2 linked regions of the Mus musculus genome follow. The protein of the gene in region 2 purifies or fractionates together with the protein of the main gene of each other region. This does not show direct contact. Links are inferred from orthologs where the notes say so. Each region holds a gene or a part of one and is shown on either strand. Other genes may lie near its edges.

Region 1 (3,650 bases), on a different chromosome or scaffold from region 2:
TTTTTTTTTTTAAGGGAAAGAGAAGGTTGCCTTATTTAATAGTGTAGTTTTTTCAAAATATTTCTCTTTTGTGTGCATGTGTATGTGTATGCCTGATCATATGTGTACTGCGTGTGTGTAGGAGCCTTCAGAGTTCAGAGGCCATCAAATTCTCTGAAACTAGAATTATAGGTAGTTTTTTGCTCCCATGTGGGTGCTGGGAATTGATCATAGTTCTTCAAGAGTTATTTCCTCAGTCTCACAGCTTAGCTTTTTAATTGAATGTTTGTGCAAGCAATTGTTCTCTCCCTCCTCCCTCTCACCTCCATACTCCTTCCTCCTTCCCCCTCCCTCTCTGCCTCCACCCCTCTCTACTTTGGCCTAGGACTGCTGGGCTAGTGGTCCACCACTGAGCAGCTTCTAGTGGCTTAATTGATTTCTCATTTTTGCACCATTTGTATGCAGCTAAAAAAATTATTTACTTAGAGCAAAAATTTGTGCACATCACTTTTGCTCCTATTGAAAAACTTGATAGCGACTAGGTTGGAGGCTGGTTCTGTCAGTCCTCTTCTCCAGTGTCTTCCTTCTATTGCTTTTGTTTTAAAATGCTCCAGCAGTAACAAGCTGCTATGTTCTATGTGCACATGCAAAAATGTACAGGTAGTGCCTTCCTTCCCGTTTGTAGGATAATGTTTCTTCTTAGATTCAGCTTAGGCTGGGGATATAGCCAGACAGAACACTTGTCTAGGGTATGTTAGTCCTTGGGTTAGGTCTTGAGCTACACACAAGCATTAATGCGTGCAAAAGAGGGAGAGAGACTGAGTGAGAGCAGATTTTACTTTTCATTCTCACAAGAATCCTCTTCAGCCATTTCTCAGTCCCAAGCTATCTAACATCGTGTCCTATAACACTTCGGTCACTTGTTACTATCTTCGAGGCTACTAATTTCTTGAGAGCAGAGACTATCTTTTATTTTTTCCTCCGCTGGTTTTCATAATTCTTTGTCTATTAACAGATAAATTATGTGTTCTTTTAGAAAAACTTGTTTCATAACATGAAAGTATTCACATTTTTTTGTTTCATTTGTTTAGCAACATGCTAGAAGGGTTTATGAAATTCTTCGACTGCTGGTGACTGACATGAGCGATGCTGAGCAATACAGAAGCTACAGACTGGATATTAAAAGAAGACTAATTAGCCCTTACAAGGTCAGACTTTGAGACGCTTTTGGTACCCGAGTGTGCGTGTGACTTGGAAAATTGAGTGTATTTATGAGTCACAGCATGTGTGTGTGTGTGTGTGTGTGTACTACATGCATGCCTGGTGTCAGTAGGGACAAGAATAGGGCATCACCCGGAACTGGAGTTACAGGCAGTTGAGAGCTGCCATGTGGCTGCTAAGTACTGAATCTGAGTCTTCTGGAAGAGCAAGTGCTTTTTGCCACCGATAATCTCTCCATACCGATTTCTTTATATGTGTATGTGTTGGAGGAATATGAACAACATGATTGCAGATGCCTACAGAGGCTAGAAGTGCAGTGCTGGGTCTCCTGAACAGTAGTTAACAGAAGATTGTAGGCTGCTCACATGGGGTCTGGTCCTCAATAGCATCCAGTGCTTTTAACTACTGAGCCATCCCTCCAGGCTTTTAACCATTTTGTTCTTTGGCTATATTATATTCACTGTTTAAGAAAGGAAAGCTAGGACTGGAAAGGAAAGATATAATATAAAACTACATAAATAATATATAATAACATAAATATAATAAAATATATAAGTATATATAATTATATATATCCTTTAAAAATCTGAATGCCCAGATACATCCTTAGTTTATCTTACATTGCTTGTTCAATTTGTCAGATATTTTTGCATGTATTTTCCTCAAAATCTATTTAGAAGGTTTTTTTTAAACACATTCTTTAAAACCTTAATTTGTACAGGATAGGAAATGGTTCATTCGGTAGAGCCGTGCAAGCATGATTAATTTCAGAACTCATGAAAAAATGTTAGTGTGGTTCTATGTGCTTAATATTAGAAGAGCGTAGGGATCTGGAGACAAGATCCCTATGACTTGCCAGCTGACCTTTGTAGTTTAATTAGTGAGCTCTAGGCTAGTGAGAGACTTGTCTCAAAGGAAGTGGACAGCATTTCTAAGGAGGATGGCCCATGTTATCCTTGGGCATCCTTGAATACAAATACTCACATAGACACACACTTCATAACCAGAGAGAGAAGCAAAGCTGGGTGGTGGTGCACACCTTTAATGCCAGCACTCGGGAGGTGGGGATAGGCAGAGCTCTGTGAGATGGGGGCCAGCCTCATCTACAGAGCAAGTTCTAGGACAGCCAGGGCTATAAAGAGGTGGCACGTACCTATGATTTCAGCACTTAAGAAGTAGAGGCAGTGTGGGTCAAGAGTTCAGAGTCTGGTTGGGGGTGTAGCTCAGTTAGTAGAGTGCATGCCTAGCATGCAGCACTTCATAGCTTGTGAGCAGTGCTGCATACTTAACAATCTAAGCACTCAAGTAGAAACAGGAGGTTGGAAATTCTGAAACTTTGTCTCAAAACCTTAATTTGTGAAACATATATATATATATATATATATATATATATATATATATATATATATATATACACACACATATATACACACACACACATACATACATTTACAATGTAGAATACATGGTTTAAAGAATATTAAAATGCTGTTTTTAATAATTTTAGTATATTTTAAAATATTAAAGGGCAGTTTGATTTGAGCATCAAATTCGTTGTGTTTGTGTGAGATTTTGGGAGGTGAGATAAAATCTTGTTTATCTCTAAGTCGAGCAAGGTGATGTGTGCCTTTAATCCCAGCTCACGGAAGGAGGCTGAGGCAGGTGGTAGATAGCAGTTCCAGCCAACAGAGTTCTTACGTACCTTCAACTTCAGCCAAACAGAGCCTGTCTCAGTTGGGTGGGTGGATGGTTTATACATACTTACCTCTGGTACTTTATTCCACTTTGTCTTAGAATGTATGATTATAGATTTAAAGTAATGAGTATTGCACATTTGCCTGGTAGTCAGAAATTATAAATGGGTTCTTTTTAAGGAACATTTATTAGTTCTAGAATGGGCTTAATGTAGTTTGAGTTGTTCTACTGCCTTTTGAAAGACTAAACAAACTTAACAGTTCAGAATTCCAACCAGACTGTTAGTCTGAGATTGGATCTTAGCTTCTTAGCTCACTGTCTCTTGAATTTCTCCAAGTCCCAGAACTCACTCTGTAGACCAGAACTCAGAGATCTGCCTGCCTCTGCATCCTGGGATTAAAGGCATGTGCCACCACTGCCTGGCGTCACTAATATTCTTAATTAATTTGTTTTATGTATATGTGTCTGGGTTTATGAACTAGAGCTGAGCTGGCATGGGTGCTCTTGAACCCAGGCCCTCCTCTAAGCACGGTTAGTGCTTTTAACTACTGAACCATTTCTAGCCCCTACTACTTAAAGATTTCAATTGTAGCTATATGAGCAAATGCTTTTTTTTTTCCATCTAAAAATAATTGCTTCCTACTTAGAAAAAGCAGAGGGATCTTGCCAAGATGAAGAAATGCCTGAGACCAGAAGAGCTGACAAATCAGATGAACCAGATAGAAATAAGTGTGCAGCATGAGCAGCTGGAAGAG
Region 2 (3,750 bases):
AGCCATGGTCATCTTGCCTACTACCACAGTGTGACTTTTACTCTGATGCACAAAAACAATGGTGACTGAACTGATGGACACCGATTGCCCAGCGTACTGACAATAAAAGTGGCTCTCTCCCCACTTTAATCTCCTTAAACATGGAAGGCCCTGCTTCATGATAACTAAAGGTCTTCGGACAAGGACAGATCATCCACAGCAATCCAGTTGAGTCTCAACCTGTCCAAGGAAGATTAATTAAATTCTGCACACTAGCAGAAACTTCACTTGCAGATTAATACTAAGACATAATTTTCACTCCGGATTTTATTGAATAGTTTAGTAGTTTCATTTATAAGGAAAAAGAAAAGAACCCAATGGTTTATGAGTAACACCTCCACAGTAAAAAGAATCAGTTCACATTCACAAAGGTGTTAGGTTTCCGTTTCCTGTTTCCTAGTCTACCCACAGTGGCTAAGTACCATAAACAAGCAACTTTTCCTCCAGTCAGCCTTGAAATGGTCTCACAGGCGTCACAGGCATGGAAGGTCTCCTCAGAATTGGTGTGCTGCACTTTTTCACTTATGAATGTTTGTTATAAATGCCTTGAAGAGCAAATGGCATGTTATCTGTGCTTTCTCCTTTCTCATATTCCACCAAAAATACATTTGTTGTCCTTTGGCCTTCAGACACTTCCATTTTCTCGACTTTTGACTTCTTTCTCTGTGCCCCCCCAACAACAGAAGCCTCGCTGTAACTGATCACGTTTTCCCCCTTTTATTTCTTTTTTTTTGTTTTGTTTTACATCTTTTCAGTTATTAAATGGGAAGAAATCCAACATGCAGCTGAAGATCGCATATTTTTTTTCTAGCCTGCGTGTGTGTGTGTAAAATCACCCCGCCCTCATTTTGTATCTATTTCACCGCACTGTCGTGGCCAAGAACTTGAATTCCAAAATGGCTTGCTCCTTTCGAGCTGACATGGGCTATAAAAATGCAATTTATTCCCACTGCAACCAGCCCTTCTCCCTATTCTCTACCATTACGATTGCGAGAAGCACAGACAGCTAGTTGGGCCTGACAAGGGCTGCAAAGCACACCTTATCTGCTAAATCCAGCAGAGCCAGCAAAGCCGCCGGCACTGGTGGGGGAAGCGTTAAAGGCTGGAAGAAAACCCGAAAAACCCCAAGGCCCATGCTGCGCACACACACGGGGCCGCCTCGCGCCCTCCTGCTTCCACCGCCGGCCCCGCCCACCCCACGGGTCCCGCCCCCTCCGTCCCGCCGCGGCCACGCCCGACGTGTGGCGCGGCCCCGCCGGGCGGGGGCGGGGCCTGCGTCGCCCCTCCCCCGCCGCCGGCGGCCTCCGCGCGGGCCTCCCAGCCCCTATTCCACTCACTTTGTTCTGCGCCTTTGTCCTGGTCCGCACCAGCAGGTGGAGCCGCAGTGAAAGTTTCCCGTCCGTTCTGCGAGCGGGAGCCCATCTTGCTCGCCGCCGCGGCCCTCGCTGGAGGAGGAGGGTCAGAGCTCGGGGGCAGCCAATCGCGGGCAACGCTGCTAGTTATCAGGGCAGAATGGGCTGTAGTTTAGTGAAATAGGAAAGCTGCAAAACACCGTGGAGTGCCGCCGTGTAAATAAAAAGGAAAAAAAAGTTTCTCAAGTCGCAGCTGCACGACGTCGGGCCGCGCCGCGCCGGGGCGGGGGTCTGCGCTCTCGGAGCGGCCGCGCGCGGGACTCGGTGGTGCCGCCAGCCCCGGCCCCATTGTTTGTGTTTTCTTCAAAATATGGCAAAGGTTCAGGTGAACAATGTAGTGGTGCTGGATAACCCGTCGCCTTTCTACAACCCGTTCCAGTTCGAGATCACCTTCGAGTGCATCGAGGACCTGTCTGAAGGTGAGCGAGTGGCGCCGGGCTGTCAGTTGCGGCGGCGGACGTTAAAGTTTCCCGGCCCGGCCTCGCGCGGGGTGGGCCGCGGCCGGCGGCCGGCGGGAGGGCGGCCATGCGAGGGAAACTTGAAGTTGAGGGACGCCGGCCGCGCCGCAACTTGCGAGCAACTTGCCGGGCGGAGGGAGCCATGTTGTCAGCTTTGTCTGCGGCGGGCGGCGCTCGGCGGCCCCCGGCTCGCGCGGCGCTGGCGGGGGGTCGTGCGGCCTCGGCGGCCCCAGGGCCCCACGGCCCGGTGGGGAGCAAGCTGGGCCGGTGGGAAGCGGAGCCATCTTACCCGGCGGCACGACGCCTGCTCCGGACCGCCGGGGGCGAGCGGGCCCGCGCCTTCCCGCCCGAGCCCCGCCGAGGCTGTCCTCGCGCCGCTCTCCGGCTCCCTCCACCAACCAGCGCGGAAGGCGGGCGCTGGGCTCGGCCCCTCGGCGCCTGGCTCCCGGGGGGCGGCCGTGCTCTCCGCGGGCGCCCGGGATGCTGTGCGCCGCCTCTCCCCGGGGACAGAGACCTCTCGGAGAGAAATGGTGAGGGGCTGGGAAGTTCCATGGCACCCTAGAGCAGAAGCAGGGTGCTTAACCAATTCCAGGCACTTCTCTGGCGTTTAGAAAGTCTGAAAGACTTTCTCCAGAACGTGTGAAGAAGAAGCAATTAAAATAACTCCACGTCCAAGCAGATGGAGAAAATGCAAACGTTAGCTGGGAGATAGAAGGCAAAATCCTTTCTGAAGTACATTTTACGGTTTAAAAAATGCGAAATAGTGAGGTAATACAGAACTTAGAAAGCTAAAATATGGCTTCTTAACGCTTTTCTTAGATTTTATTAAAATCAATGCTTCATTTTCAACATTTGAAACAAAAAGTTTAACTTCATTGGTGTTAAATTTTAGTTAACTAGGAGGACATCTTGGGACTTGAAAGTATTTCGACAAAATGCCTTGTATTATCCTAATCATGACGAAAAGAATTTCTCTTTTAATTTAAAAGTTTATAATCTCTTCAATGTACTTCATGTAGAATGTTAACTTTAATTATAAAAACCATTGCAATAAACCTTTAAAAATTGTAAAAAGGAAGTCACAGCCCCTTCTCTTCACTCCTTTGGCTAACCATCACTTAAAACGTACCCTGCTGTTTTTAATACGTATGTAAATTATAACGTGCATACATTTAGTGAGTGGGACATATTTTGAAGATTGACTAAACATTAAAATATAGTAGTCTCTGAATAGACTGTGATGATTAATGTAAGTGTAAGGGTGTTTTCCATTTGAAATGTAACAGCATTTCCACATCAGACCTATTTCCAACCCCAACACTGATTTTAATTTTCTTTTTCAAACTGCCAATTTATATACAAATGATCAAATATAAAGTAAGATCATGGCTGAGTCCATCCTAACTCAGTGCAGTGTTCGAGGCATTAGAAGTTCTTTACACTACAGGTGTTTCTCATATGATGGCTTCCATTTTAGGTCCACATTGTATGAGGAAGATAGGCTCTAGGATATTGTTACAGAGTCATTACACTGGATAGTTCGAAACCAGCCACCCACAGAAACCAAACAGGGTTCCATGTTAAACAGGGATCCTTTCACAACAGTGTTATTACTCAAGTCAAGAATATGCCTTCCTCTAGTACAATTCAAAACCAGCGCACCATTATTTTAAGGTATTTTAAGCTGAGTCATTCCAAAGCTGCAGAGGAACCCTTGACAAAGGTGCCATTCCTGTCTACTCCATCTAGAGGCTCTGTGGAGCAAGGAGATGGGCGTTGATTTACCCTGCAGAAGCTCGTTTCTAGGGCCCATACTTTTGTTGTACTGTGACTTGTTAAGT

What was found. Proteins that work in one complex are often made in the same cells at the same time.
Region 1: the proteins of Asf1a (region 2) and Hat1 purify together in Homo sapiens (affinity purification with mass spectrometry; 4 studies listed by BioGRID and IntAct, counting the BioPlex papers as one, with this or other methods). This does not show direct contact. The link is inferred for Mus musculus from reciprocal best matches to the Homo sapiens genes ASF1A and HAT1.

Annotation. Positions count from the first base shown.
Region 1 is NC_000068.7:71,437,626-71,441,275, forward strand, and holds part of Hat1 (histone acetyltransferase type B catalytic subunit), read left to right. Parts: intron 1-1,070; coding exon 1,071-1,187; intron 1,188-3,542; coding exon 3,543-3,650. UniProt on the Homo sapiens protein: Histone acetyltransferase that plays a role in different biological processes including cell cycle progression, glucose metabolism, histone production or DNA damage repair. Coordinates histone production and acetylation via H4 promoter binding.
Region 2 is NC_000076.6:53,595,429-53,599,178, forward strand, and holds the start of Asf1a (histone chaperone ASF1A), read left to right. Parts: upstream 1-1,532; 5' UTR 1,533-1,761; coding exon 1,762-1,870; exon of another isoform or gene 1,871-3,750. UniProt on the Homo sapiens protein: Histone chaperone that facilitates histone deposition and histone exchange and removal during nucleosome assembly and disassembly.